Xenopus tropicalis: one gene and its partners. The protein of the gene in region 5 interacts with the protein of the main gene of each other region in a pairwise test. Links are inferred from orthologs where the notes say so. Each region holds a gene or a part of one and is shown on either strand. Other genes may lie near its edges. The genes, in order: slc35b4, pgap2, plp1, gpr25, creb3l1 and fxyd6.

Region 1 (5,501 bases), on a different chromosome or scaffold from region 5:
ATCCCCCCCTACGGGTGGGCGATATTGGGTGAATTTAGGCTAATTCGGTCATTTGGCCCTGGGGCCAAACAATCGATTTAGAATGCCGGAATAGGTGCAGTCAGGTACCACATCAACGAGCCAATACGATCCCCAATCCGACTAAATTTTTTAACCTGCCCGATTTGAGGCCAGATATCGGTCGGGCAGGCCCGTCGTTTGTGCCCCTACATGGCCCGATAAGTTGCCGAATCGGTCTGTGGCCCGTGTATGGCCACCTTAAGTGACCTCCATGACAATTCAGATGACCTCTTTTAAAGGAGACATATTGGATAAATGGAAAAAACCCTAATTTTGTAGGCAATTATGAATAATATATGCTGTTGGTTTCACTTTGGGCTAAAAATGAATCCTAGCTGTAAAAATGGCCACTTTATTGGAGCTCCCTATAGATCCTCTCACTTCTCTGTCTGTGTTTCAAATGAAGGGTCGCCGTGTCCTAACGGTCCCTGCCAGAAGCACAGCAGGAGGGGGAGAGCCAATCACAACCCTGCACTCCCACAAGCAAAGCCAGGCTTCAGTTCCCTGTCAGGTCAGACTAGTTGCTGATTGGTTCCTAAACTCCAGAGAATTCAGCTGGCGGGACTAGTAGGGGTTTGGGGGAATGTCTCAATAAATATTTTTTTAAGCACAATCCATCTATATTTAGAGGAGTAAAATTCACTGGTACATTCTTAATTTTTATATGATATGTCTCCTTTAACTCTGGAGGCAATGCATGCCTGACATTTTGCTTATACTATGCATATTGGGCATCAAACTGTTTAGCAGACCTGTGGCACTTACATTTATGATGATCTTAAAACATAATGCCATGTGAGACAAGATACTCTAAGGGGCACATTTACTAACCCACGAATCCGAATCCGAATTGGAAAAATTCCGATTGGAAAACGAACATTTTGCGACTTTTTCGTATTTTTTGCGATTTTTTCGGCGCCTTTACGACTTTTCGGAAATTGTCGCATCTTTTTCGTTACCAATACGATTTGCGCAAGAAAACGCGAGTTTTTCGTAGCCATTACAATGCGCTCGTATCTTGTTGCGACTTTTTCGTATTGAGCACTCGTAAGCGGTGGGCGAAACTTTCAGACTTGGAAGCCTCCCATAGGACTCAATGGCACCCTGCAGCTCCAACCTGGCCCAAGAAAAGTCACCATACTGAAGCTTGAATGAATCCGAATCTTTCGTACTCGGCGCGAAGGCTACGAAAAAGTCGCGACTTTTCACGCAAGTAGTAACGCTATGAAAAAATCGCCAGATTTTGCGCAACATTCGAAATGGCAACGAAAAAGTCGCGACAATTTTCCGAAAAATCGGCAAATACCGTTCATTACGAAAAAAACGCAATCGGACGCATTCGGCCCGTTCGTGAGTAAGTAAATGTGCCCCTTAAATTTGAGGCAATTTACAGATATTTCATCAAAAGCCGTACATTTGGAAAGCTTTGTGGCATGTTAGTTTGACATATTTACCCATTTTGGATGCAGGAGAATATGTACTTTGCAAAAATATATCACTCTCTGTGTTACAGAGCTTTTTTCTTACATACAATGAAAAGTGTGATTTTGCAATAGTTGCAATGACCACCAGAATTTGTATAAACTTCTCCTTTTGGTTCCTCTACATGCCACAGATTTTGGCAATCCTAAACATACTGGACATCAAACAAGGACCTCTGGAATCCATATGCTTACTTCATTTTAGTAAAATAACTTATAATGAAAAATGAAGACCAATTGCAAATTACTCTCTACATCACACTAGTTAGCTACATCTAATACAAAGTTTTACAATTACGCGTCTTAGCCCAGCATAGCGTTAACGTGGTTACATGAACACTATGAGGGCCACGGTTTTTTATCTTCACAATCTTATGAAGATGCTCTTTATTGTAAAGTTATTAATTATATAATCGCGAAGACTAAAATTTCACGTGGGGTCGAAAAAGACAAAACCGTGCGACCAAACGTTGCCTTTCTACTAATTGCGCAGCAAAAAAAATCCGCATTATAGAGAACGCGCGGAAAACATTCGTTGTTCTTGTTCGAGTCCTTTGACTCACTTCTAAACTTGTATACGTGGAGACGTCCTAACCTATGTTTTTCCCCTCAGTCAGCACCAGTACCGCATCCGCTGAAATGGTTAAATTTTTAACATTGCAGCCAGTGATATTTGTACGCACTTCCGTATAAATCGTGCTTGATGGGTATTGTAGTTTTGGAGGTTGGATGCAGCCTCTCCAATGGCCGCAGTAGGCTAGACAAACTGCAAGACTAATAAACTACATTTCCCGTGAGTCTGTGCGCGGTAGGAGGAGGACGTGTCAGTCTCAGGAATGTACCGCCTTCGTGCTTCAGCTGAAAACCGGCGTTAGTTGCTGTTTAGTAGAGGCGTTTAAGTCACTTGTGACCATGCACCCAGCTTTAGCCGTGGGCCTGGTGTTTTCGGGCTGCTGCAGTAATGTGGTGTTTTTAGAGCTGTTAGCCAGGTGAGAACGAAGTTAGCCTTTGGTTCATTCATTTTGACTACAGCCAGCGAAGTGTACGAGTAAAGGTATTCAGATGATAGCAGGCAGGAGGCACGTTTATATATAAGGGGGTGTGTTATTAAGAGGCACCGCTTGATTCACTTTATTAGCTGCCTTTGCCGGGGAGGGACTAGGCAGAGATAAGTTTGACAGGTATCTAACAGCAGCAGAACATAACTTTTCAATGTGTGTTTAAGAGATTTGATAGCGATAGCTGTTAGTTGGATACCCGGGGAACCTATCTATAAGAGAACTGGATATGTGAGATGTGCAGGCCATGATGATCTCCCAATATCAGTGTTCCTCTAGAGGCAACTCCCATGAGAATAACCCAGGGTTGTCAGATCCATGTGTCAAAGTCCTTTATCTGTAGATAGAACCAATTTGTGTTTTAATCTAATGAGTCATCAGTGGTGTAGCCAGTGTGGGCCCTGTTTCATTACCTTTTTATCCCACCTGCAATATTGTGTATCAGTCTGACCGCTATCTCTGCCTGGCTCTGTATTCCTCCCTGGCAGCAGCCATTTCAGTTCACTGTTGTTACAATAAGCTTAGTGAACCAATTACACTTCCACTTGTTGAACTATGACTAATGGGCCATGGAGTTCTGCTTCAACAACATCTGGAGGCTTGCCAGCTGACTAGAGGTTGTTGAAATGGATGCCCATGCACCTTTGAGTCAATGAAGGTAAATTTTGAAAAAGAAATTAAAACAAATGATTTCTACACAAGCCCCTTTGATCTGAATGATGGATCTATGTGAGCAGCCCCCCCTCCCCTCCAAGTATGCATCTGAACCTTGCCATTACCTAATATGGCCTTGTAATTATGGAACAGCTTTTTGTGTTGACAGAGTTTTGTTGGTTTGACCTTGTTTGTGTTACTTTATGGTTTCCATGACATGCACAAACATACTAAACGCTTAGGCTACTTTCTTTGTCAACTAATGTAAAAGCTTTTGCCCTTTGTGTACAGAATTAGAAATAATTTATTCAATTAACATATCAAAATAACCAACATTTTGGTCTCATTGTAGGACATTCGGCAGGTTTAAAAAAGTATATAGATAAAGTAAATGTTCTTCTAAGATACATTAATAAGAATAAGGGCATATGTAGCAATTCATGCAATGAATGTCCCTATGCAAGAAATTTACACAAATTGCATTGAAACAGCATTTGTTAATGGGCTAGTTCACCATGAGATTACATTTTGGTGTGGTGTAGACATTCATGCACTACGACAGTTTAAAACTGGTATTCCTATTTGTTTTCCTTATTCTTTTCATGTTTTTTCTGTTGCTGTTAAGTTTGGAATTTAAACTTAGGATGATTGAATTATAGTAATAACAACTGGGCACTAGGTTAGAAGTAAGACTGGAATATAATTAGGAAAAGGCCTGAATATAAATATAAGCAATATCATATAGGAACAATAATAAATATGATCACATAACAAATCTGCAACCAGATAAAAATCACAGACTGAACTAAGCCTTATGTAATTCTTTAGATGAATAAATGACTAGATATTCATGATGTTCAAGAAAATGAGTTTATTTGTGGTTGCAAAAACCTCTAAATCCACAAAAATCTGAATGCTGATAAGACTGCCAGATAAGAGGGCAATACCTGTATAATATACTAAAATGAGAATGGTGGGTGTTGTGTGAGCGCTGTGTATGTTATAGTAAATCTTTCCTCCATATGGTGTCACCACTTAACATGATATATTTTTCTGTTTGCTTGAATAGGGCATTTCCTGGCTGTGGAAACATTGTTACATTTTCACAGTTTCTGTTCATAGCAGTAGAAGGCTTTATATTCCAAGCTAATTTTGGAAGAAAGAAGTCAGCCATTCCAGTAAGGTAAAATTTTCTCTTATCATTTTTGCTCAGTTCAGAATTATATTGCATGTGGGTATTCAGCAAGCATCACAAGAAGGTCTTTAAGAATCATCCACTTATTGATCCACCTTTAGATACCCAGAAAACTTACACTCATTTCATCTGTAAAAAAAATCCAAAAAATTCAGATGAATAGCCCTTTTAAAATATCCATATTAATACATGCTTTGTATATAGCAAGACCATTTTATTACGATGGGACAAACCAGTACTGTGCTATCCGGACAGGCCGTTGAAGTGGTTAAACGCTCCAGATATTCCTCGAGATGTGTGAATCCTTGTTATCAGCCAGCAATCGATGTACTTTCATGGCTTGTTTATTTATGCACTTCATTTTACACCTTACATTTTGCCTACAGAAAGGTTACATTATTTTTGCAGAAGCCACACTGAAAAGTTTAAAATACTTTCCGCATTATGTCACATTAGTGCATTTTTATGTGAATTTTAAGGGGTTGAAAACCCAAATATAAAATGACTCCTAATGAAATGAATTAATCCATTCTAACTTTCCAACTTTCCTGTATACATTCACTACATATTTTTAATTAATGAGTTATTTGTAAATGTGGTTGCCTTTTAATGCAGTGCTGTTTGTGCTTTGCTATTTTCTGCACCTCTGGTTATGACTACATGTGCTATTGAAACAATGCTACAATATTAACCTCCTCGCCAGCCAAGACACAATTTCCCACAATGCCTTTCATTTATAATAAATGTCCCCATAATGGCTTAGTGCAGGAGAGGATATTGGCTGACTTTTCCCCCTGCCTCCATAAGTTAACTTTCTGTGCTGTTGTTACAGGTATTACCTAATCATGGTAGCTATGTTCTTCACTGTCAGCGTGGTGAATAATTATGCACTTAACCTCAATATTTCCATGCCACTGCACATGATATTTAGATCGGTAAGTAAGCAAAAGAAACCAAATATTTTTATTAGATTGAATGCACACTATGGGGCACATTCATCAAAGTACGACTTTGTGTATGTTCTGCGACTTTTTCGTACATTTGTGTGACTTT
Region 2 (5,615 bases), on a different chromosome or scaffold from region 5:
TTGGGGTGACACAGACAGACGGGGGCATTAGGGTTAGTATTGGGGTGCCACAGACAGACGGGGGCATTAGGGTAGTATTGGGGTGACACAGACAGAGAGGGGCATTAGGGGTAGTATTGGGGTGACACAGACAGAGAGGGGCATTAGGGGTAGTATTGGGGTGCCACAGACAGAGAGGGGCATTAGGGTTAGTATTGGGGCTGCCACAGACGGGGCATTAGGGTTAGTATTGGGGTGCCACAGACAGACGGGGCATTAGGGTTAGTATTGGGGTGCCACAGACAGACGGGGGCATTAGGGTTAGTATTGGGGTGCCACAGACAGACGGGGGCATTAGGGATAGTATTGGGGTGCCACAGACAGACGGCGGCATTAGGGTTAGTATTGGGGTGCCACAGACAGACGGGGGCATTAGGGTTAGTATTGGGGTGCCACAGACAGACGGGGGCATTAGGGTTAGTATTGGGGTGCCACAGACAGACGGGGGCATTAGGGTTAGTATTGGGGTGCCACAGACAGACGGGGGCATTAGGGTTAGTATTGGGGTGACACAGACAGAGAGGGGCATTAGGGGTAGTATTGAGGTGACACAGACAGAGAGGGGCATTAGGGGTAGTATTGGGGTGACACAGACAGAGAGGGGCATTAGGGGTAGTATTGGGGTGACACAAGACAGAGAGGGGCATTAGGGGTAGTATTGGGGTGCCCACAGACAGACGGGGGCATTAGGGTTAGTATTGGGGTGACACAGACAGAGAGGGGCATTAGGGGTAGTATTGGGGTGACACAGACAGAGAGGGGCATTAGGGGTAGTATTGGGGTGACACAGACAGAGAGGGGCATTAGGGGTAGTATTGGGGTGACACAGACAGAGAGGGGCATTAGGGGTAGTATTGGGGTGCCACAGTACAAGGGGAAGCATTTCTAGCCAAACTATTGGTTGAGCTTTAGTTCTCAATTACAATGACATTTTAGTGCAGACTGAGCTTGCCCACATCTGGGCCCATTTACCCACAATTCCCCACACTCCCGGGGCCACACTGACGACCCCATAGAAAGACATAAAGCGGGGGCACTTACCTCCAGGCTCCCCGAGCCCTTACGCGCCACGCGCCACAGCGAGCAGGTCACGAACATGTAGCCCACCGAGAACAACATGAAGGCCATGAAACCCAACTTATGGACCTCTGGGGAGACAGAGAAGTTCTACGTAGAACCCAACAAGCATGGTTATCTATCTATTAGACCCAACCCCCACCCACATTTACTTGCAGAACATGAATCCTGGGGGGGGCACATCCTACGTCCCTTCATGGAAACCGCTATGGCAGCACCGCCTATTGTCTAAGCAAGAGACCAACACAATGCCTACAGAAGGGTTAACTCTTTATAAGAAAGAGCAGGAGGGCCCCCATGATTGGCTGAAAGCAAACCCTTCTACTTATAGAAATGCCCCCCCCCCCCCCCATTCCTGCATACGTGTCTAGTCGGTCAGGCCATATGGCTGAAACTGGCCAAACTGCCCAACCACCTCCGGGCAGAGGAGACAAAAGTATTTGCCCCTGGTTTGTAGGTGGGGCGGGGCTAATACTGGGGGTATCTCTAACACATCTGCCCCCCCCGCCACACGATGTTGGTCTCTCCCGGCCCTACCATAATTCTCCGAGGATGAGACGTAAGTCAGCAGGATGAGGAAGAAGATTTCGCAGCAATTCAGCAGGAAGTTGAGGTGACAGAGCCGGGGGTAGGCGGGGCTGGAGCAGGGGGTGCCCTGATAGTAGTGCAGGTATGCCACGCCCACGAGGAAGCGAGGGGCAGAGTGAAGTCCAATGCACAGTCGCCATATGTATCTCTGGGGGGTCTCTCCTCCAATAGCGGCACTGACTGACGGCAGGTAGTTAGGACCTGAGGGAGAGAGGGGGGGGGGAGAGAGTGAGGGGAGGAGAGAGAGGGGGAGAGAGAGAGAGGGGGAGAGAGAGTGAGGGGAGGAGAGAGAGGGGGAGAGAGAGTGAGGGGAGGAGAGAGGGGGGAGAGAGAGTGAGGGGAGGAGAGAGTGAGGGAGGAGAAGGGGGGGGAGAGAGAGGGGGGGAGAGAGTGAGGGGAGGAGAGAGTGAGGGGAGGAGAGAGGGGGAGAGAGAGTGAGGGGAGGAGAGAGTGAGGGAGGAGAGAGAGGGGGGAGAGAGTGAGGGAGGAGAGAGTGAGGGGAGGAGAGAGAGGGGGGGAGAGAGAGAGGGGAGGAGAGAGAGGGGGGGAGAGAGAGAGGGGAGGAGAGAGTGAGGGAGGAGAGAGAGGGGGGAGAGAGAGGGGGGAGAGAGAGAGGGGAGAGAGCCGAGGATCTGGGTAAATGGGTAGGTATATATCTGTATGTACACTGGGGGGGGGGTAGGTGTAGTATATATCCCACCACCCTGGGGGCGCGCCCCAATCATACATGTGCACCAGTATCACTACTCTCAGCGGGATTATCGGGCTATAACTCTTCGGGTTACGCGGGGGCACCGTGGCCGGGGGGTCTCACTCACATCGACCAGTGGCATGCAGTTCGTCTCGGCTGAAGTTGAAGAGGAGGGACCAGACGATGCAGAAGAGGAAGGCAAACAATGGCAGGGAGACCGTGCCCACCGCAAACGTAGTGAATGAATGAGACAGAGCGAGTTGGCCCAGCTCAGGGCCACGGAAGGCTGTATGGGGGGAATAACATGAGTGGACAGGGATCTGTATAGTCCACTGCTGTATGGGGGGGAAATAAATGAGTGGGACAGGGATTCGTATACGCTCCCACTGCCTGCTATGTGCGGGGTAAATCAACATGAGTGGGACAGGGCTATTTCCTTGTATTAGTCACCTGCACTTTTGTATGGGGGGAAATAACATGAGTGGACAGGTCGAATTCCTGCCTATCACTGTCACTTGCCTCTACTGCGGGGAAAATAACTCATGAGCTGGGACCAGGGAATTGTACTACCTCACTCTGCTAGATACGGTCTTAAATGCAGTTGGGCACAGGGAATCCCTTGTCATACCTTGTCATGCCTCCGTATGCTGCTGGGAAATACATGAGTGGGACAGCGGATCTTTGTATATCTCACCCGCCTCTGTATCGGTGGCGGGGTGATATCCTTATAGTGGCGACACGGGACATCTTCTGTATAGTCACTGCTGTATGGGGGAAATAACATGAGTGGGACAGGGAATCTGTATAGTCACTGCCTGTATGGGGGGAAATAACATGAGTGGGACAGGGAATCTGTTATATAAACTACAGTCACGTGCTGTATGGGGGGAATATCATGAGTCCGGGAGTCGAGTTCTGTAATTTATATGCGTCACACTGCCTGTCAAGGTAGGGGGAATAAAATCATGAGTGGGACAGGGAAATCTGTACTGATGTATGTTCGGTGATAGTGGAAATAATTGTTAGTGGGGGGATCACTTGTATAGTGGGTGCTGTACTGGGGCGGAATATTACATGAGTGGGGACATGTCGGTCTCGATCTGTGGGTATAGTCATGGTGGCCTGTATGGGGGGCAATAACATGAGTGGGACAGGGATCTGTATGTCACTGCGAGTGCTAATGTGGGGGGGGAAGGTCAACTCATGAGTGGGACAGGGAATTGCTGCTGACAAACACTAGAGTGGGCACTGGCCTGCTAGGGGGGGAGTGCATGAGTGGACAGGGGAGCTATAGTTCAACTCTATGGTATATGGGGGGGAAGGTATCGTGAGTTGAGGGACTTAGCGGGCCCGCCTGTATGGGCTAGAGAAATGCAAAACATTGTAGTGGCGCTTAAATGCGGAACTCTCGGGGTAAGAATAGTCAGGGCTTGGTTGCGGTGTAATGGGGTTGTGGAAAATACTCAAAATGGGAGTGGGATTCAGGGGTTGCGCGACAGGGGGCATGATTGGGCAGACTAGGGGGGGAGCGATAGAAACAGCCAAGAACAGGGGGAGGAGCAAGACACGAAAGGGGCGGTGCAGGAGGCAGACAGGGGGGAGCAGCAAGACAGGGGGGGGAGCAGACAGGGGAGGGATGAGAAGGGGACAGACAGGGGGGGAGCAAGCAGGGGGGGAGACGGGGGCGCAGACAGGGGGTGCAACGGGGGGAGCCAGGGGGGGGGCAGACGACTGAGCACCAGACAGGGGGATCCGCTCTGGGACCTGTATAGTCAGTGCCTGTATGGGGCCACAGTCAGGAATCCCTTGGGGTAAGGGCTCTGGCACACAGGGAGATTAGTCGCCCGAAACAAATCTCCCTTATCACAGGTGACTAATCTCCCCGAACTGCCATCCCACTGGCAAAAATGTAAGTCACCAGTGGGATGGCACACGCTGCGCAGGCAACTTTGTTGCCTCGCGTGTGCCAGAGCCCTAAGGGGGGGGTGTAAGTGTAGATCCCCCACTGAGTATATATAGAAATGTCACTGGGGGCAGAGACCCCTTACTCCACTGCCCCTACACACAATACATCAGGGCACAGGAGTGTGTTAGTTACTGACGGCGAGTGTGTTAGTTACTGACGGCGAGTGTGTTAGTTACTGACGGCGAGTGTGTTAGGGCGAGTGTGTTAGTTACTGACGGCGAGTGTGTTAGGGCGAGTGTGTTAGTTACTGACGGCGAGTGTGTTAGTTACTGACGGCGAGTGTGTTAGTTACTGACGGCGAGTGTGTTAGTTACTGACGGCGAGTGTGTTAGGGCGAGTGTGTTAGTTACTGACGGCGAGTGTTAGGGCGAGTGTTAGTTACTGACGGCGAGTGTATTAGTTACTCACGGCGAGTGTGTTAGTTACTGACGGCGAGTGTCTTAGTTACTGACGGCGAGTGTCTTAGTTACTGACGGCGAGTGTGTTAGTTACTGACGGCGAGTGTATTAGTTACTGACGGCGAGTGTATTAGTTACTGACGGCGAGTGTGTTAGTTACTGACGGCGAGTGTATAGTTACTGACGGCGAGTGTCGTTAGTTACTGACGGCGAGTGTGTTAGTTACTGACGGCGAGTGTTATAGTTACTGACGGCGAGTGTGTTAGTTACTGACGGCGAGTGTATTAGTTACTGACGGCGAGTGTATTAGTTACTGACGGCGAGTGTATTAGTTACTGACGGCGAGTGTGTTAGTTACTGACGGCGAGTGTATAGTTACTGACGGCGAGTGTGTTAGTTACTGACGGCGAGTGTGTTAGTTACTGACGGCGAGTGTATAGTTACTGACGGCGAGTGTATTAGTTACTGACGGCGAGTGTATTAGTTACTGACAGTGAGTGGGTTAGTTACTGACAGTGAGTGGGTTAGTTACTGACGGCGAGTGGGTTAGTTACTGACAGTGAGTGGGTTAGTTACTGACAGTGAGTGGGTTAGTTACTGACAGTGAGTGGGTTAGTTACTGACAGTGAGTGGGTTAGTTACTGACAGTGAGTGGGTTAGTTACTGACGGCGAGTGTATTAGTTACTGACAGTGAGTGGGTTAGTTACTGACAGTGAGTGGGTTAGTTACTGACGGCGAGTGGGTTAGTTACTGACAGTGAGTGGGTTAGTTACTGACAGTGAGTGGGTTAGTTACTGACAGTGAGTGGGTTAGTTACTGACAGTGAGTGGGTTAGTTACTGACAGTGAGTGGGTT
Region 3 (5,484 bases), on a different chromosome or scaffold from region 5:
GCTGCATTGTATAGTATACAAAGTGTGCTTTTAAAAGAGAGAATTTATGCCTTTATCTCTGTATCTATCTGCAAGTGGATCCGTACAACACATACATTGTTGCTAACAATACACCCACATACAGTCACACATACACAACAATGACGCTCTGTCACACAAACTGGGGATAACGTGTCTGACATGCCCTGACACTGCTTCTCTTCCCACCCCCAAACAATGAAAGAAACACATTTAGTCTAGTGAGTGTTTACTATACACTTAGAATAGACTGGCTCTATTATGTAATATCAGTAGGTATGTAAACACTGCGCCAGCGTCAGGGTAAAATGACTCTTCTTTGTGGCCTTCAGTTTAGTTGCAAATGTTTAACATAACATGTAACACTGTATTCACCAGCAGAGCATCTGTCTATATAAATATTGCCTATACTGCTACATTCTAAGTGGCTAAACGTTCCTTGTTTAATGGTATGTACAAGAATGGGGATGAGGATAGGAGACAAATACATCCTCCTTGTTATGTGAGTGCACTGGGAAGGACAATGGAATCTGACAGGGAGAGGTCTCAGCAGAACTATCTATATCTCTTATTACATATTACAGAATATAAAAGTTGCCCATGTAAGCTACCATTGCAAGTGCAAGAAGCAAAGTGGCACTCAAAATGTAAGTGCTATCAAAAGGTACTTGTGTCAGTTCAAGCTCCTCTATACTTGCACCTTATGCTGAAACACTGGTTATGCCTGCTTTGTTGCATAAGGTGCAAATACAGAGTTCATGGGACCCAGTAACTAAGAGCCCTGGGATGGAGTTATTACTAGTTCTGTTGCACCCACACATGACTCACACACCACCTCCCTCTCGGGCACTCTCGGTCATTGATGTTTCAGAAATTACACAATTTGCATACACAATATGTACAGTATTTAACATTGTGGATACTAATTTATATCTGCATTGATAAATCTGGCCAAATTAATGTAGGATATCTGCAATTACACTGGAATGTATGGATTTAAAAAAGACAGATTCTATGCACATTTTGCATTTGCTTTATAATAAGCCTTTCAATTTCTCAGGGGGCCCTAGATTCAAAAACATTGTTAGTTCCTTCGGCCTCTATATAAGATGTTTTTCTGTGTACTCAAGGTTCTAAATTAAGATTGTAAACTCTGTAGAATTGGGCATAGCAGTGCCTAGAAAAACAAAACTGATTAGATCTCTATCAATTTAGTATCACTATTAAGATTAGAAGTTTTCCGTACTGGGACATGCAGCGTTCTATATTTACTTTAGATTCCTATGCCCCATTTTATAAATGGCCTTTTTATTTTGTGCAAATGATACATTCCTCTTAGAATGAGATGACACCCAAAAGTCTAAACATTGCTGTTTCAGGCAAGTCCTAGCAGAGTAACAGATTGATTAATTTGCCTGTTTTATCTGGAGAAAAGGCAAAGGAGGGGACATGATTACTCTGTACAAATACATTAGAGGGGATTATCCCATAATAAAAAACAAATTACCAGAAGTCACCTTTAGACATGAGCAACTGAGCTTTCACCTAAAGCAGCACCACAGTGAGGGCAGTGCGGTTGTGGAATGCCGAGGGATGTGGTAATGGCAGATTCTGTTAATGCCTATAAGAGGGGCCTGGATGAGTTCTTGGACAAGCATAGTATCCAAGACTATTGTGATGTCAAGATCTACAGTGAGTTTAGTATAGGTATGTATATATATTTTTTATATATGTGAGTATATTGATTGGTTGCACTGTGGATCATTTGGAAGGGTTGAACTTCATGTACTTATGTTTTTTTAAACCCAAATTATTATGTGTAACTATGCATGGAGTGTGATCTCTCACAGTGACTTGCACTATGACTTGCGCAAACTAGATGACAGAGAGAGTACACCTACAAATGATGGGAAAAGAAAAGCCTTGATAACACTGGGTCATATTCAACTAATCTCCTAATTAAATTCCATTTTCCCCAACCACTTCGATTCATGTGGTAAACCATGGAATCCGGCCCATTATTTGCTATAAGTTCCTGTACTGACATTCTGTTGTCTGTCACAAAATCTCTTTCAAAGAATAATGTAGAGGGGACTGTATATACCAAATATAGTATTCCAAAGCACGGGAAAAATTTACCAGGTTAGTAACCCCCAAAATGGAGAAATGGGAGTGTACATGAAAATTACACTTAGTAAATACATTTTTTGGCAACAGGGCATTACATGGAATTCCAGTCAGTGCATCCCTTTACTGTTAACAAAGAGCATGCACCATATTGCACATTGCGCAATTATTCTCTAAAATCATTAATGCTTGTATTTAGCTGATAAGCTCACTAGAGTGCACCATAAGCCTTTTTAACAGTGACAGGAAGCAAATTGGGCATTGCAGGGTAACCTGGTGGTACAGTAGCCAGTATTCCTGCCTTGCAGTGCTGAAGTTTTAGGTTTGTACAGAAACATACTGTACATGTACTGCAGTGATCCCCAACCAGTGGCTCGAGAGTAACATGTTGCTTTCCAACCGCGTGGATGTTGCTCCCAGGGGCCTCAAAGCAGGTGCTTATTTTTGAATTTCTGGTTAGGAGGCAAGTTTTGGCTGCATAAAAACTCAGTGTAATGCCAAACAGAGCTTTCTGTAGGATGTAAGTCCTCGTAGGGGCTATTAAATAGGCAATTACAGCTTTTATTAGCACCCTCAGAAAACTTTTTCATGCTTGTGTTGCTCGCCAACACTTTTTCCATTTGAATGTGGCTCGTGGGTATAAAAGGTTGGGGATCCCTGATGTACTGGAACAGATCAACAGAAGGCCAGCCGGAAAAAGCTCAGAAGCTTAGAAGAGACCGGAATTGGATACAAGAGACAAAAGTCCAATAGATTTTTGTAATGATAAAATAACTTTGCAAGGACACTTAACACATTGCAAAAAAAATATACTAAATATTTTACCAATAAAATTTGTTTTTATACAGTCTTCATATATCCTTAGCCTTACACTTCCCAACCATACATTTGCCATAGTTTCTCCTTAGTCTAAGCCCTTTTCTCTTTTCTAATACATACATAATAAATCATCACATGGTTGCTTCCCTCATATTATTTTGTGTATATTAATCAAGAATCCTGGCTGAGATGATTTATTCAACAGACTCAGGAATGTAAAGTAGAAATCATTACTCACCCATAGTTGTAGAAATAGACTTGTTGGAAGAGGACCTGTTTGTGTGGCTAGCCCTGATTCCTCTCTCTCACTGACTGTGCTTGCAGCCAGTGTCCCTGAGTGTCATTAGCCTCTATCAACTGCTGTGCCAAACCCCTTAACCCCTCTATTCCCAGATCTATAGATATGCCACACAAACCGTTTAAGATCAGTGTGTGGAACCCTTCAATCCCCTATGAGGGTAGGGGTTAAAATGAACCAAGGGTGGGCGCTTGCTTCTTGCTGCCAACTCTACACCCCGCTCTCCTGACTTGTGGGTGAATAAAGACCCATTGTGAGGGAAAGAGATGCAGTGTTAGGGTATAGTAGTGAATGCACACATCTACATGTTATTTTATATTATATTATTATATTATAAATATATATATATATTCTACACATGATCTTTCTTGTACAGGTATGGGACCTGTTATCCAGAATGCTCGGGACCTGGGGTTTTCCAGTTAAGGGATCTTTCCATAATGTGGATCTCCGTAACTTAAATCTGCTAAACATCATTTAAATATTGAATAAACCCAAAAGGCTTGTTTTGATTCCAATAAGGATTAATTATATCTTAGTTGGGATCAAATACAAGGTACTGTTTTATTATTACAGAGAAAAAGGAAATAATATATAAAAATCAGAATTATTTGCTTATAATGGAGTCTATGGGCGATGGCCTTTCTGTAATTCGGAACTTTCTGGATAATGGGTTTCCGGATAAGGGATCCCATACCTGTACTTCAAAAATGAACAGAGCAATTAAAATAACTTTGGTATGGTATGGAGTGGTATGGAGATCCTTCTGGACCTGAGGCCTTTAGGTGATAAGTGTTTATTTAGTGCGGGATATTTGTATTTATTTTTAGATAAAGTTTACTCATATATGCTAATTAGTATTAAAGTATAACATAATAACAGGAAATAAAGCCATGAATGTCCTGTAAATTTTAAATTTATAAATGGTGTTTAGCGATGTCATCAGCTATAACGGGTGCTTAGTGATGTCATTTGGGGCACATGACTCACAAACTTGTGTATTATAAAAAAAAATAATGTACTCCCTCTTTAAAATATGAGAATATTAGAATATTGGAGTTCCATGACCTGTATTAATGAGGTGTAGGCCTTCTGAGTGACATAATATCCTTATAGATCCTAATAGACAAGAACCGTGGATATCCTGTAAATTATATCCTTATAAACAGTGCTTAGTGATGTTAGCAGTTATAATTATGTAATATCTGTCATATGACTCACTGAAACGTAGGAATTAGTACATGAGAAGTACCCCCTGTTGAAAAATATATGAGGATTTTATAAGTCACCTTGGAGCTCCATGACCTATGTTATATGGTCATGGACCTTATATTTTATCACAGGGTATACTTTATTTACTATATATTTCACAATAGGGGGTATATTATTCCCTACAAAACACACAAGAGCCATGAATAATATAAAATATTGCCTCATAAATAGTGTATCGTGATATCATCAACTATAATTTGTGCTTAGGGATGTGACATAATATTATAAAATGTAATAAAAAAAATAATGTATACGTAATGTACATCACCTGAGTGACTTTTAGTATCCTCATATTGTTACATATGAAATACCCGTTTTCCCAAACAGTGTTAATCTTATCCCTGTTTTGGATTGTGAATTCTGCAAAATGCCAACACAACACACAACTATTTATGTGTTTAGATAAAAAAAAATTACAGGTAGCGGATCCCTTATCCGGAAACCCATTATCCAGAAAGTTCCGAATTACGGAAAGGTCATCTCCCGTAGACTCCATTTTAATCAAATAATTCACATTTTTAAAAATGATTCCCTTTTTCTCTGTAATAATAAAACAGTACCTTGTACTTGATCCCAACTAGGATATAATTAATCCTTATTGGAGGCAAAACAATCCTATTGGGTTTAATTACTGTTTAAATAATGTGCTTAGCAGACTTTAGGTAGGAGATCTAAATTACGGAAAGACCCCCTTATCCGGAAAACCCCAGGTCCTGAGCATTCTGGATGATGGGTCCCATACCTGTACTAATAGGGTTATTTGTTCTGCCTCTAAGGGGCTGATTTACTAAGACACGAATTCCGACCGAATTGGAAAAATTCAGATTGGAAAACGAACATTTTGCGACTTTTTCGTATTTTTTGCGATTTTTTCGGCGCCTTTACGACTTTTCGGAAATTATCGCGACTTTTTCGTTACCAATACGATTTACGCGAAAAAACGCGAGTTT
Region 4 (4,395 bases), on a different chromosome or scaffold from region 5:
ACCTGTATATAGAGTGTGAGCTTTTCTGTCTGTATCTGTTTAATGAGTCACAAAGTCACAGAGACAAACTCTGGTTATCCAATTGAATTTGGCACAGAAACCATATTAGTGGCACTAATACACGGGCCGAGTGCCTTGTGATTTGACTTTGTGTGCTTGTGTGTAATCCCGTAAGTTTGAGATCTTCAGTGTGTAGCTCTGTATTGGGTGTAAGCTCTTCTGCCTATATTATGTTGTATTGTATAGCATTAATAGAACAAGAGATTTCATTCATCCGTGTACAGGCTGAAGAAAGTTGCCTTCTTTGCGCTTCTCCTTAGCTAATACTTAACTCAACGCTGCCCCCTGCTGTGACATCTCAGCATAGCTCTATCCCTTCTCACTCTGCCCTTGGTACATCTACTTGTACCCCTAACTTTTCCTAGAGCCCCATTCGCAGCCCCCTTCACTCAAGCATGGTTTGTGCCATTGTATCTCAACCTTTCTTATTTTCTCAATGGCTACCTGGGTATGTCGATGAGGATGAGTTGCTTTGTAACCAATGTTACTACTACTAGTAGAATTACTCAACCAACGGAGAGGTGCAAGATCAGCTGGACAGACGGACTCCCCAAAGAATGGCGTTGGGACCTTCTATGCACATCTGCACCCAACCAACATGGATATTGTTCCCAAGACTATACCAGGATTTGCTCAATAGGTTGCTGTGTGCCGGCTGATACCCTCTGCTGCCTCAACATCACTCTAAATGAAGCTGGGAGTTGCAGTTTATCAACCGCTGCATTACCACAGATTGGAAATCTTGCAAGGACTGCACCCAGCACCCTTTGGCACCAGTCTGAGAGTGATCTTGACCAATGACCTCCGAATCTCAACCAACCAACACACCCAACCTGCTTGCCGGTTATAGCCAGAATCGTGGGCTTCCTTGGTCTTCCCTCTGTTGTTTGCAACCAAAGAATAAGCTAAAGGTAGGTTGTAGCTTTAAAACATTTTAATGCTTCAGGACATTTTATATTCTGTACAGAGTATAACACGTTCAAGGCATAGAAGTCATTATATTGGATAGTCTGCTCTATGAGTGTATATATATATCCAAAAAAGACCAGCAACACCGAGTTATATTCCAAAAACAATCAATTGTGTATTAAAAAACGCATATATATATATGACGTGTGACTGTAGGGAAAATAAACTGATGAAATAATCATTTTATACACATAAAGAAATGATATTATTTGCCTTCATTTTACATACTCAGTCCCAGTGTTGTCTATTGAGAGAATAAGCACCTTGGGGACATTCTAGTCCATCATGATGTTGGATCGCTGTTGGCTTTTGAGCCTTTTCTGCCATTTATAAAGGGCTTGGAAGGGTTCAGTAGCTGCGTGTGTAGGAGCTGCTACTCTCGGTGCTGGCAACTGTAGACTGTTGGCTCCCACCACGGAAGGGGAGATGGAAAACTGCTTGGCATATGGGGAAAATGCTGGGCAAGGTCTGCTTTGTCCTGTGCCGAAAGCCGGCATCGAGGATGGAGTAGATGAGGGGGTTGGTGCAGCTGTTGGCAAAGGCAATGGCGGCTGTGGCACTGAGCGCTTGGTTAATGGCGACCGTGGTGTGGCAGGGAAAGCCTTCTCCAAGCTCGGCCACCAGTCTTACAGTGCTGAGGGTATTATAGGGCAACCAAGACAATGAATACGCTGCCACAACACACGAGACTATACGTAGCCAGCTGTGCCTACGCCGAGGCTTCGCTTTGCCCCCAGCAACATTCTGAGGGCCCCCAAAATAATTCCAGAGGTGCTTAGCCATGCAGCTGTAGCAAAACGCCACCACGGTAAGTGGAAGGACGAAGGTCAAGAACAAAGTGGCCAACTTGATGCCCACGCTGAGTCTCGATTCTGAGGATTCCACGCACACGTTCTCCACCAGGTTCCGGAAAACCAGAGGGGGGATCCCAGTTACCAGGGAGAGCAGCCAAATGGCGCAGCAAGCCCCCAGGGAGCAGGTCCTAGTGCGGAAAGGGTGAATCCTATGCCCCCCAATCACCGCAAGGTAACGGTCAACACTCATGATGGCCATTAGCAAGGAGCTGGCACAGCGGGTAACCGCGATAATAAACCCACTGGCGCGGCACATGTGTACCCCAAAGCTCCACTGCCCCCCCAGCGCCAACGAAGAAGCCCAAAATGGCAGAGTCAATACAAAAAGCAAGTCAGAGATGGCGAGGTGGAGAATGAAAATATCTGCCCGACGTGAACTCCGCCTGGACACAATGGCGATCACTATGGCGTTCCCAGTCAGGCCAAAGAAAAAAAAGATCAGATAGAGGGTGGGCAGAATCCAGTGCCCATGGGGCAAATTCTCATCCTGGCAGTCGGGTTCCGTGTCGTTATCATAATCACTGTATTCATCGTAATTATAAGTAACGGCCTCCATGGCTGTAGCAACACTCATGGTTGGTCAGGGGCGGCAGTGCCAAAGGATGTGTGGGCAGCGTGGGTAGGGGGTTATATAAGCCCTTCATATGTTTATTGTGGTTATACAGAAGGGTTCATTAGTCTCAGAACCCACCAATACAAGCGCAGGGGTGGGACTATTTCTGCTTTCTATTTGTTATCCTTCCATTTGGCACTTGTAGCTTCTCTCCCAGGGCTTCCTGTGTTAGTAACATAGCCCCCAATATACTGTATACTCCTGTGTTAGTAACATAGCCCCTAATATATACTCCTGTGTTAGTTAGCCCCACTCTGTGTTAGGCCATATACCTTAGTTAGGTATCCTCTCCCATATATAGTTAGTAACATAGCCCCCAATATATACTCCTGTGTTAGTAACATAGCCCCCAATATATACTCCTGTGTTAGTAACATAGCCCCCAATATATACTCCTGTGTTAGTAACATAGCCCCCAATATATACTCCTGTGTTAGTAACATAGCCCCCAATATATACTCCTGTGTTAGTAACATAGCCCCCAATATATACTCCTGTGTTAGTAACATATACCTGAATATATATTTATATTTATATTATATTTTTCATACCTTAACATACAGCTTTGTCTCTGCCTGACTGACGGCTGATTTGTAGTTTTTTAGTTATTTTACTTCTCGTTCTGAGTTTTTAGCAGCTATCTAGTTGCTAGAGTCCAAATTACCTTAGCGACCAGGGAGCAGTTTTAATTAGGAGAGAGACTGAATAGAAAAACAAGTTATAAAAGTAACAATAAAACTGGAGCCTCACAGAGCAATAGGCTGCCGGGGTCAGTGACCCCCATCTAAAAGCTGCAAAGAGTTAGAAGAAAAAGGCAAACAATTTAAAAACTATAAGAAAAAAATAATGAAGACCAATTGAAAAGTTGTTTAGAATAGGCATTGCTATAACCTACTAAAAGTTAAGTTAATGGTTAATGATTAAATAACTGCTTTACTTCGGAAAACAATTTCTGATCTTATTAATGATAATAATAATAAAAAAATAATTTTCATGAGCCATTTGATATCCCCTCTCTGAATTTCCTGCATTTCTCTGTCCTTTTATATATCCGGTCTCCCATTAGTGTAGAATTTAGTCACTGCAGGAAAACCAATTACTTAATAATTAAGCAGAGTCATTATGTTCCGTTCCTGCCCAATCAGCTCTGGGCCCCCGTCCCTACTCTACTTATTATTATTATTATTTGCATTACTGTCTGTTGACTTTTATTTATTAATACTTGCTACAGAGACAGAATTCAGCAAGGTCCTGGGGACCTGGGGATTTCTGGATAAGGGATCTTTCTATAATTTGGATCTGTATACAAAAAGTCTACTGAAAAATCATTTCCGGTTTCTGGATATCAGATCCCAAACCTTAGCATTTTTTTTTCTTGTTATCCCAAACAAAGCCCCTATGGTTTGCCTTTTCTATGATAATTTTATCCTTATTTGCCTTTTCTCCCACATAGTACCCCCCCACCTTGTTCTCTTGTGTATAAATGTCCTGCAACTGTCTGCTGTGTCTTCAAATACTGACACCTAACTTTATAGGATTATGTCATTATTAATTAATTGAAAAGCACTGGGGCTACAGCCGAACCCCTCAATTTAACTTTAATGAAGAATTAAATAGCTCTGCACCTTCTTTACATTTATTACAGAGAAAAGGGAATCATTTACCCATGAAATAAACCCAATAGGGCTGTTCTGCCCCCAATAAGGGGTAATTATATCTTAGTTGGGATCAAGTACAGGTACTGTTTTATTATTACAGAGAAAAGGGAATCATTTAACCATGAAATAAACCCAATAGGGCTGTTCTGCCCCCAATAAGGGGTAATTATATCTTAGTTGGGATCAAGTACAGGTACTGTTTTATTATTACAGAGAAAAGGGAATCATTTACCCATGAAAT
Region 5 (5,026 bases):
AACCAAATAGCTGCTGAAACTCCTGATTTGAAAATAATATACAGTAACTAAAAAATAATAAAAAATGAAGACCAATTGCAAATTGTCTCAGAATATTACTCTCCACATCATACTAAGGGGCACATTTACTAATCCACGAATGTCCGAAAAGCGTCCGAATGCGTTTTTTTCATAATGATCGGTATTTTGCGTCTTTTTCGAGCACTCAATACGAAAAAGTTGCGACAATTCGCGAAACTCGTAATGGCTATGAAAAAGTCGCGACAATTCACGAAAGTCATAATGGCTATGAAAAAGTCGCGACAATTCACGAAATTTGTAACGGGCATGAAAAAGTCGCGACAATTCACGCAAGTTGTAACGGCTACGAAAAAGTCGCAAAAAATACGAAAAAGTCGCAAAATGTTCGTTTTCAAATCCGAATGTTTCCCATTCGGATTCGTGGATTAGTAAATCAGCCCCTAAGAGTTAACTCAAAGATGAACAATCCCTTTAAAGGGCCAAAGGCAACCGTTCCTTAGAGAAGCACTGAGAGAATCCTGCTCGGAGCACTTGCGTCCCTGGCAACGGTCGGACCAAGCGAGCAGTCACTCACCTCCTCGTCTTGGGGGCCCATGGATCCCTGGGCATGTTCTAGTGCGGTGCTGCAGTGCGCGGCGTTGGTTTGTGCCGTTAGACTGTGTTCCTGTTTGACCAGTAGGGAGCAGATCTCGTGCTCCAAGGCCCAGACTCCGTTGCTAGGGGGCTCTGAGGGAGAGAAAAAAATTAGCCACCTCTAATACACCCCAAAAGCCCACTCTGTAGTAAACAGTACATATACCCCCCCCAACTTACACACAGCTTATTCCAACATTGCTTTTTGGGGTACTTTTGCAATTTCCATAACCATTGCTACAATTATGAATGTATAACAGGAGTGCCCCCTGCTGTTTTGTCCTGGTATTGGTAAAAGCTTAATTTAGTTTTAGTATGAAGTAGATATAGAGAGTTACTGGGGTCCAATTTATCCTAGCAACCAGAAACTGGTTATACTGTGAGACTGGAGGATAAATAGGAGAGGCCTGAATAGGAAGATAATAAATGAATATGAAGTAATAAAATGTCACAATAACAATTAAATTGTAGCCTCGCAGAGCAATAGCTTTATGGCTGTGACCCCCATTTAAAAACTGGAAAGATGCAGAAGAGGAAGGCAAATAGATATAAAAGTAAAGACTAATAGTCCATTAAGCTAAAGCCTTCAAAATAATACCCAATGCATACACACAGAAACATTGATACACTATGTATACTGGAGCCCAAGATGAAATACTTGTCCAAGAAGTCGTCCAAGCCACTGTTAAAAGGATTAATGTATTCTGCCATTACTACATCAATGTCAGTGTGGCCTGAGCAATAGAACTGAGCAGACAAGACTCTGAAGACGCTTCCTGCATCAGTCACTGAATAGATACGATGACTCCCAGGACTGCAATGTCATATTCACTAACCGGTCGGACTTTCTTCATCCTCCTCCTTGATGGTGAGGGCAGGGCTCTGAGGGGCTGAGTCTCCACTCAATGAGTAGCTGTGTTCGGCTTGGATAGGTGGCGATGGGCTCTCCACATCCATGTCGAGTAAGGAGTCTCGGTCCAGTAAGGGCGGGTCATCGAAAAAACTGTTAAATAGCTCATTGGAGAAGTCATCAAGAGCTTCTGAGAAGTGCTAGGGGGGAAATGGGGAGAAGTGAGAATAAACATACAGAGACTTAAATATAGAACATTATGGCAGATATGTACCCAAGCGGCTACTTATTCACCCATCTAATTCAGCTGCAGGCCAGTCCTGTTATTCTTGTATGGCCTTAATCAGGGCCAGCATCTCTCATGTATTATAAGGGATAATGTACCCCCTACTGTAAATGATAAGGATATTAGCAGTCACTGAGGGGTTCTGTGCCCATATAAAGGCACAAGGCTGCAGGCTGAGTTATACAGGGAACTCTGAGTATCACTCATGTATTATAAGGGATAATGTACCCCCTACTGTAAATGATAAGGATATTAGCAGTCACTGAGGGGTTCTGTGCCCATATAAAGGCACAAGGCTGCAGGCTGAGTTATACAGGGAACTCTGAGTATCACTCATGTATTATAAGGGATAATGTACCCCCTACTGTAAATGATAAGGATATTAGCAGTCACTGAGGGGTTCTGTGCCCATATAAAGGCACAAGGCTACAGGCTGAGTTATACAGGGAACTCTGAGTATCACTCATGTATTATAAGGGATAATGTACCCCCTACTGTAAATGATAAGGATATTAGCAGTCACTGAGGGGTTCTGTGCCCCCCATATAAAGGCACAAGGCTGCAGGCTGAGTTATACAGGGAACTCTGAGTATCACTCATGTATTATAAGGGATAATGTACCCCCTAATGTAAATGATAAGGATATTAGCAGTCACTAAAAGGTTCAAGCAGAGGGCATGGCACAAACATGGCTTCCATTATGATTTCCAAAATGCAAGTTCTAATTCCATTCATGCTGCTGCTGTAAATCCTTGGGCACTGCACACACACACATATATATATATCTGTATTATGAGCAGACAGACATTCCCCCCCCCTAACTGGTGTCTACTAGAAACATCTCATGTGAATACATTATGCAGGCCAGGAATGTGTACAAAACAATCTCATTTTATTACTATATTGCAGTTTGGTATAATAACCGCTTGGCCGCTAATATCCTGCTCCCCAGCAGTGAATTAACCCCTGCCGTGCCAGTGAGTTCGCCCACGCCGCGCTTTTCTGTACATTAAATAAACCCATCTCTGCGGAAGGGACAGCAGTTAATAGTTCCCATGTCCAGAATCTGAATGAGCTCTGAGGCATTTTATGGCACCATCTGTTCCCATAATAAAAACACCTCCTGTAGCAGTCGGCAAGGGGTTAATTCTGAGTGCTAGTAAAGCCAGCATGAGATCAGGAAGCTGGATTGGCTGGTTACTGACGGCTCTGAGCCAATGGGAGAGGAGCATGCAAAAAAAGTGAAAGTTAGTGGAGCCTTATGTCTGGCCACAGAGCCCGGGAGTGCAGGGTTAGAATGGAGCAGTCGCTGTTAGTGAGTCGGAAAAGCAGCGCAGGGTGTTTGCATTCAGAGTGCAACATGTACCGTATGTACCGCAAATCATAGCATGCAAATACAACAACAATAACAACAACAACAATAACAACAACTCCTCCCACACCCACAATTGCCCTAATCTTCTAGTGCAGCTAAATTATAAATACTAGGAGAGATGGGAATAATATTGGATAGAAGGCACTGGGAAAATATATCATTTTATACCATATTAAATATATTAGTATTAGATTGTAAGCTCTGCTGGTGCAGGAACTGCTGTATCATCTCTGTAATGTGGGCAGAACAGGCCAGTGCTATAGAAATAAAGGTTAATAATACTAAAAGGGCATGGGGAAAGTCATCAGTAAGCATCAGTAGTAGTTAGGCTATTCACACTATAAATCTATGCCAGTATAAAATTCCCCTATGTATAAGCACAATTCAGCAGGAACAGCCCCCTAAGTTTGCTCATAGCCTGTACAGAGAGATACCATAAAACTATGGCACATAGGGATTCCCCTTGTACTAAGCACAATTCAGCAGGAACAGCCCCCTAAGTTTGCTCATAGCCTGTACAGAGAGATACCATAAAACTATGGCACATAGGGATTCCCCTGTACTAAGCACAATTCAGCAGGAACAGCCCCCCCTACGTTTGCTCATAGCCTGTACAAAGAGATACCATAAAACTATGGCACATAGGGATTCCCCTGTACTAAGCACAATTCAGCAGGAACAGCCCCCTAAGTTTGCCCATAGCCTGTACAGAGAGATACCATAAAACTATGGCACATAGGGATTCCCCTGTACTAAGCACAATTCAGCAGGAACAGCCCCCTAAGTTTGCCCATAGCCTGTACAGAGAGATACCATAAAACTATGGCACATAGGGATTCCCCTGTACTAAGCACAATTCAGCAGGAACAGCCCCCTAAGTTTGCCCATAGCCTGTACAGAGAGATACCATAAAACTATGGCACATAGGGATTCCCCTGTACTAAGCACAATTCAGCAGGAACAGCCCCCTAAGTTTGCTCATAGCCTGTACAGAGAGATACCATAAAACTATGGCACATAGGGATTCCCCTGTACTAAGCACAATTCAGCAGGAACAGCCCCCTAAGTTTGCCCATAGCCTGTACAGAGAGATACCATAAAACTATGTAACATAGGGATTCCCCTGTACTAAGCACAATTCAGCATGAACAGCCCCCTAAGTTTGCTCATAGCCTGTACAGAGAGATACCATAAAACTATGGCACATAGGGATTCCCCTGTACTAAGCACAATTCAGCAGGAACAGCCCCCTAAGTTTGCCCATAGCCTGTACAGAGAGATACCATAAAACTATGGCAGCATAGGGTTTCCCCTGTACTAAGCACAATTCAGCAGGAACAGCCCCCTAAGTTTGCCCATAGCCTGTACAGAGAGATACCATAAAACTATGGCAGCATAGGGATTCCCCTGTACTAAGCACAATTCAGCAGGAACAGCCCCCTAAGTTGACTCATAGAAATCATACAAAAATGCATGCAATATGCCAAATCATGTGTGCTCCCACAGCCAAATGTCAGTTGTACATGACATAAGCCACTTTGCACTAATTCTGCTAGTAAATAAGACCCACTGTATTTGGGGTTGGGGGGATGAAGGGTGGAGCCATGATATAAAGGGGCATGGCAGTGTCATAAAGGGGTGGGCTGTGGCGTTAGACCAGACAGAAAACAGGGGAAGTAAAAAAAGAAGTGACCAATGAGAATGCTGATTCCCAGCACTGTGTCAGGCCCCTTGCTGGTACCTTACATATAGAGATAATGATGGCATTTTCCCCTCATTATATGGCACAGGAATCAGACATGGGGATAAGGGCAGACTTGTTCAGTGCTGGGAAACTGGGTTTAATGCTCCCAACTCCAAT
Region 6 (5,503 bases), on a different chromosome or scaffold from region 5:
TCGCGCCTCCGCGTCTGCCATCCCGCCGGCGACTTACATGTTCGCCGGCGGGATGGCAGGGGTAGGCAACTCGGGGAGATTAGTCGCCCGCGAACAGGGAGTTTTGTCGCGGGCGACTAATCTTCCCCGTGTGCCAGAGCCCTAAGTGTACAGAGATGTATTGGCTCTTGCAAGACTGATGTCAATTATCTGAAAACCCATTATCCACAAACCTTTGAATTACGGAAAGGCCATCTCGCATAGAATCCTATTGGGTTAATTTAATGTTTAAATAATTTTTAGCAGACTTTAGATAAATATATCCAAATTACAGAAAGAACCCTTATCTGGAAACACCCAGGTCCCAAGCATTCTGAATAACAGATCATGTACCTATACTATGAATTACTATCATCACTGCTGCAACTGACCACCTGCAAACAAATTAGAACAAGCATATTACAAATTTACCTAGTAAAACGGATACTGCACTTTAACTTATCAGTACAAATGCTATATTTCCTAGCATATGTAAAAATAATATATAAATGTATATTATTAATATTCAGATAAAATCCTTCATTTACAGTAGAGCTGCATTTCTACAAAAGTCCATGCTGCCAGGCACATGTGTATGTTAAAGTTTTACTCATTAAAAAATGTCTGCAGCATGATATTGCATTTGTAATTTTCAGTACTGAATTATTAGGCGCAAGTGTTGCAATAAAAGTAATGTGGGTATAAAGGTGAGCTGCATGATCTGAATAACATGGAAGTCACTGAAACAGTGGGACACAGTGGCAGTGCATATGCTGGTCAGGATGAAGGAGAGACAGAGGGTAAAATTATGAACAGAAAATAGAACACTAAATATAATGAAAAAATCAGTGGAAAAGAGAAGCAACTGGAACTGCAGTAATAGAAACGAATTAAAGGGGCGCTGAGCGATATATGGAGAGCAGGTGACCCGGTAGGAAGAAGGGCATAGATAAAAGCCTAAATGAAACAGCCCTGAAATGGCGTTTAAGCAAATAGTCTATGAATCAAATAAACGAGCTCTCACTCACCTGACAGATCCAACCTTGCAAGAATTCATGCACCCCATCTTTCTTGGCCTTTATGCACCGTTCCATCTCTCTCACCCTCTGCACCCAGAATCGAGTAATGTCCTGACTCAGGCGCTACAGCGCCCCCTGCCGGAAATAGCGTGAATGAGCAGGGTACTGCGGTGAGAGAGAGGCGGCCAGAGCATTTAGGCGTAAGAACTCTCAGTTGAGATCGTGTCAGAGCTTTGTCAGTATTTTTTCAGTGAACCAGAATTATAAAATGTACGTTTTTTACTGCTGTTGCCCTATTCCTACAGTGGAAAACGCGAAGCTATTTGAACTGTGTCCGTACAATTATACTCTAACCTTTGCCTGCCTGTGTAATCAGTGCAAGATCAAGTGTATTTATATGCATGTATATGTAATTCACTACACCATTTAGCAAAATCATTTTATATAAATTTGTTGCATAAACCAAAACAATTTAGTTTTCCTGGCCAAAGCAGAAAACCTGCTCTTCAGCTTCTTCAGATTTATATCAAGGCAGCTGCCTGCAGAAATCTCTTTGGTGAAAGCTGTTAGTAATCCCAACCTCCCAGGGCCTCTGCCTTTCATGCCTTAGCCATAAGGTATGTTTGTCAGTACATAGCCACCCTGTGCTGCTGCCATTCAATCACAGCCATCCTGTGTCCCTTTCATCTATTATAGTCTCTTGCACAACACTTTACAATACACTGTGCATCTGTTTAAGGATTATATCTGACTTTCAAAGATGATTTTCATACCAAGTGGGTCAAGTTATTAACTTTGGTTCCTACTGAAGAGCTAAGAAACAGGCTGCTGGTGTGTTTTTATACTCAGTGTAAGCTATCAAACATTTTACACAGTCAAAATAAACAGTCTCTGGGCCGACCTGGAGCCACACAGACCCCCTGGAGTGCCACACAGCAGTGTTATAATGTAATGCCATGCAGGCCACACTCAACCCCTAATGCCCTATGCTTTGAAAACAACTTCCTGTTGATCTCTTTGTGAAAAGAATATGACCTGTCAAATAAGTTTGGGTTATTAAGATTATTCTCACTGACTTCTGGTTAATGAGGTATCAGTAGTATTGAGGAATTCAGTTAACAATATTTATTTCCACAGGGCTCATGGAGGCAGCACTGATTTTCCTTTGTTCTGCTCTGGTTCCAGTACTAGGTAAGTAGGCAGCCTGAGCCAACTGAGTCCATGTTACTCAAGGGAAGCCCAAATCTGTTTTAGTTAATTACAAATACTTATCTGTTGCTAACCTATTATCACATTTGCTATTTAGGACTGTAAGCAGTTAAATAATAATTGGAGCAATCTCTTATTTTTTATGCACGCAGCCACTTCCCCCATGACAATGGTTGGTAGGTCAGTATATGACCCACAGTTGCTGTTAGAGGAGCAGTTCAGTGTAAAAATGAAACTATGAAAATAGTTTATATATACAGTAAATAGTATATATATAGTAATATAATGAAAAATATTTTCAATATAGTTGGGCAAAAATGTAATCTATAACAGCTGACGCGGGCAGATATCTAACATAATAGCCAGAACTCTGCTTCCTCCTTTACAGCTCTCTAAGCTGTTAGCAGTCAGTAACCAATCAGTGACTGAGGAGGTGGGGCATATGGGCCATACCTGTTCAGTTAGTTTGCATTTGAATCTGACCTGCATGCTCACAAACTAACTGAACAGTTATGTCCCATGTGCTCCCCCCCCCCCCCAAAAGTCATTGACTTGCTATGGTTAGAGAGCTGAAAGCAGGAAGTAAACTTTTGGGGTATAGAAGAGCCAAGAGCCAAGTGAGTTGGTTGTATCACAAAACAATATATTAATTAACCTCTTATATAGTCTTAGTAAACCACTTGAGTTCATTGCTTTATTTCATCTAAAGTGGTCAAGATAAGTCAACATCAATCCCAGGGTTACTCCTGTGAAATTTTCTAGGGCTCATTTACAGTGGCTGGGGGAAAAAGAGCAAGAGAACTAAGGGCTCTGGCACACGAGGGAGATTAGTAGCCCGCGATAAATCTCCCTTGTTGCGGGCATTTTTCGCCGGTGGTATGTCATATTGGGGAGATTAGTCGCCCGCAACAAGGGAGATTTGTCGCGGGCATTTTTCGCCGGTGGGATGTCATATTGGGGAGATTAGTTGCCCGCAACAAGGGAGATTTTCACGGGCATTTTTCGCCGGTGGGATGTCATATTGGGGAGATTAGTCGCGCGCAACAAGGGAGACTTGTCGCGGGAAAACTTTTATGTTTCCACCAAACATCTATAACAATTTGTTGTGTGCACTTGGCGATAACTTTGGCTGTGATCAGTTCAGATATAACTGGGAGACTAACTCTTTGGTCGGCTTTTTTCCATCCCTTCTCCCCAGGGAAATCTAGATTTAGGCAAAGGAGAGACAGATTTTAGCTCAATATCTATTACCTTTTTTGATCAGCAAAACATAAAACAACACAGCTACAGCGGCCATGAATGATATCTTGCTGTAGATGGTGAACTGCCAGAATGTTTCCGTGCATACAGAAGACTACTACTAGGAGATAAGATTGCTTGCGGAACTACAAATTCATAGTTTACGATAGGTTGATTATCCAAACCAGAAATTCATTTGTAAAACTCTATTGCATTGTATTTTTCCCCAGGTGCCAGTGAGGAAGTTAAGGATCAAGACCCATTTCACTATGGTAATAAAGTGAATACACTTAACACTAACTTTAAGGTTTTATATTTGGTATACTATCTTAACCAAAACTAAGAACTCTGTACCCTGTGACTCCTAATTTTGGAAACAAATGTCATCTATGCTGGAACACACATTTCCAGTAAAAGCCTTGTTGGCTAGATCCATTTGGATATCACAAGTCATTTATTATTGACTTTTTGTGATTCATTTATGCCAAACCATATGCCCAAAATGAATCACAGGCTGGCGAGTTATTGCTTTTTGTTGCTGTTTATTTAGTAATGTTATTACCATTCCAGTGGTTCTGTTGTATCCAAAACAATCAACAAATTTAACAATGTATTGTCTTATGCACAGATTATGAAAGTTTGCGCATTGGAGGGCTTGTTTTCGCAGTTGTCCTCTTCATGCTGGGGATCCTCTTGATTCTCAGTAAGTATGTTGCATGGATAAATCTATAATAGCTTCTGGTAAATACCAAATAAAGAATGTATGTAATGGAGAAGGAAAGGCATTTTGGCATTTTACTGCCAATAGATTAGCCACATTAGTGCCACGCTATATTTATTCTGCAGAAAGCTTTACCATGTCTGAGTAAACAGCCCTAGAAGCTTTCTCTGTTTGTTTAAGATAGCAGCTGCCATGTTAGCTTGGTCTCCTTAGCTTCCTACTGCAGCTCTAGCACTTGGTAGCACAGCTCACACATTCTTGTGGGAGGGGGAGAGAATTCTTATGATGCAGATTCATGCCCCAAACCTGAAGGAACCCTAAAGGAGAGGAATTCTGATACTGAAGAACATGATTACATAAAATAAGACAAGAAATCCTGTGGTTCTTTGGATAGAGGACTCTTCTGAGAGGGGTTATGGCGGTATTTAGATAGACCTTTCTAATAAAGCTTACTTAGTTTTACCTTTACTTCTCCTTTAAAAAGCATCCTGTCCAGCTGCTTGCATTGACCATTTCCTCCATTGAATCCTGTGCTTTGCTAGGATGGGGGAGTGATAAAGAAAATAAAGAGGCATATACTGTAATTAAGTGGAATCACAAAAATAAGTGCTACAATATCCTTATAAACAATAACAAATCCAATGCACAAGGCCTGTTTTCTATATTCAATGCCCTTCTACATCCCTCAGCAACCTCTCTGCTCACAACTTGCTCTCTTGACCTTATGCCTTCTTCTCTTCTTAAACACTGCGCTGCTAAGCTTACTTCCGCTCTTACTCACATCTTCAATATAAAAACATCTTTCCGTAAGAATAATTTACAAGAATAATTTACAAACTCCTTCTCCTTAACCATCAAAGTCCTTCATTCATCTGCATCTCACTACATCTCTTCTCTTGTGTCTCAATAAGTTCCTGGCCAACTCCTCCACTCCTCTCAAAGCAACCGCTTGGTTGCAACCCCCACTACTATTGCTGCTGTTTCCCACCTTAAACCTTTCTGCTTTGCTGCTCCTTACATTTGGAATGCAATCCCTGATTCCCTACCCCAGACACAGGTACTGTAGATACCTATGAAGGTACTGCCTGGACTATGCTGCCTGTGTGTATGGCACACACAGGGAGCATAGGGTAGGCAAAGTATGGCACACACAGGCAGTATAGGGCAGGGAGGGTATGGCACACACAGGCAGGGACGGGCAGGCAGAGCATGGCACACACAGGCATCTAAGGGCAGGCAAAGTATGGCACACACAGGCAGCATAGGGCAGGGAGGGTATGGCACACACAGGAAGGGT

Evidence for each region.
Region 1: the proteins of creb3l1 (region 5) and slc35b4 interact in binary tests that used the Homo sapiens proteins (3 or more experiments, as listed by UniProt). The two-hybrid records come from large-scale screens. The link is inferred for Xenopus tropicalis from reciprocal best matches to the Homo sapiens genes CREB3L1 and SLC35B4.
Region 2: the proteins of creb3l1 (region 5) and pgap2 interact in binary tests that used the Homo sapiens proteins (3 or more experiments, as listed by UniProt). The two-hybrid records come from large-scale screens. The link is inferred for Xenopus tropicalis from reciprocal best matches to the Homo sapiens genes CREB3L1 and PGAP2.
Region 3: the proteins of creb3l1 (region 5) and plp1 interact in binary tests that used the Homo sapiens proteins (3 or more experiments, as listed by UniProt). The two-hybrid records come from large-scale screens. The link is inferred for Xenopus tropicalis from reciprocal best matches to the Homo sapiens genes CREB3L1 and PLP1.
Region 4: the proteins of creb3l1 (region 5) and gpr25 interact in binary tests that used the Homo sapiens proteins (3 or more experiments, as listed by UniProt). The two-hybrid records come from large-scale screens. The link is inferred for Xenopus tropicalis from reciprocal best matches to the Homo sapiens genes CREB3L1 and GPR25.
Region 6: the proteins of creb3l1 (region 5) and fxyd6 interact in binary tests that used the Homo sapiens proteins (3 or more experiments, as listed by UniProt). The two-hybrid records come from large-scale screens. The link is inferred for Xenopus tropicalis from reciprocal best matches to the Homo sapiens genes CREB3L1 and FXYD6.

The regions. Positions count from the first base shown.
Region 1 is NC_030679.2:86,407,362-86,412,862, reverse strand, and holds the start of slc35b4 (UDP-xylose and UDP-N-acetylglucosamine transporter), read left to right. Parts: upstream 1-2,282; 5' UTR 2,283-2,453; coding exon 2,454-2,530; intron 2,531-4,322; coding exon 4,323-4,436; intron 4,437-5,280; coding exon 5,281-5,383; intron 5,384-5,501. UniProt on the Homo sapiens protein: Antiporter that transports nucleotide sugars across the endoplasmic reticulum (ER) membrane in exchange for another nucleotide sugar.
Region 2 is NC_030678.2:177,473,935-177,479,549, reverse strand, and holds the start of pgap2 (post-GPI attachment to proteins factor 2), read right to left. Parts: upstream 3,512-5,615; coding exon 3,454-3,511; intron 2,682-3,453; coding exon 2,529-2,681; intron 1,910-2,528; coding exon of another isoform or gene 1,906-1,909; coding exon 1,654-1,905; intron 1,188-1,653; coding exon 1,081-1,187; intron 1-1,080.
Region 3 is NC_030684.2:37,579,751-37,585,234, forward strand, and holds the start of plp1 (myelin proteolipid protein), read right to left. Parts: upstream 3,247-5,484; 5' UTR 3,207-3,246; coding exon 3,203-3,206; intron 1-3,202.
Region 4 is NC_030678.2:172,542,771-172,547,165, forward strand, and holds gpr25 (probable G-protein coupled receptor 25), read right to left. Parts: upstream 2,458-4,395; coding exon 1,378-2,457; downstream 1-1,377. UniProt on the Homo sapiens protein: Orphan receptor.
Region 5 is NC_030680.2:13,416,833-13,421,858, forward strand, and holds part of creb3l1 (cyclic AMP-responsive element-binding protein 3-like protein 1), read right to left. Parts: intron 1,705-5,026; coding exon 1,491-1,704; intron 748-1,490; coding exon 596-747; intron 1-595.
Region 6 is NC_030683.2:81,650,855-81,656,357, forward strand, and holds the start of fxyd6 (FXYD domain-containing ion transport regulator 6 precursor), read left to right. Parts: upstream 1-2,172; 5' UTR 2,173-2,179; coding exon 2,180-2,228; intron 2,229-3,715; coding exon 3,716-3,757; intron 3,758-4,113; coding exon 4,114-4,188; intron 4,189-5,503. UniProt on the Homo sapiens protein: Associates with and regulates the activity of the sodium/potassium-transporting ATPase (NKA) which catalyzes the hydrolysis of ATP coupled with the exchange of Na(+) and K(+) ions across the plasma membrane.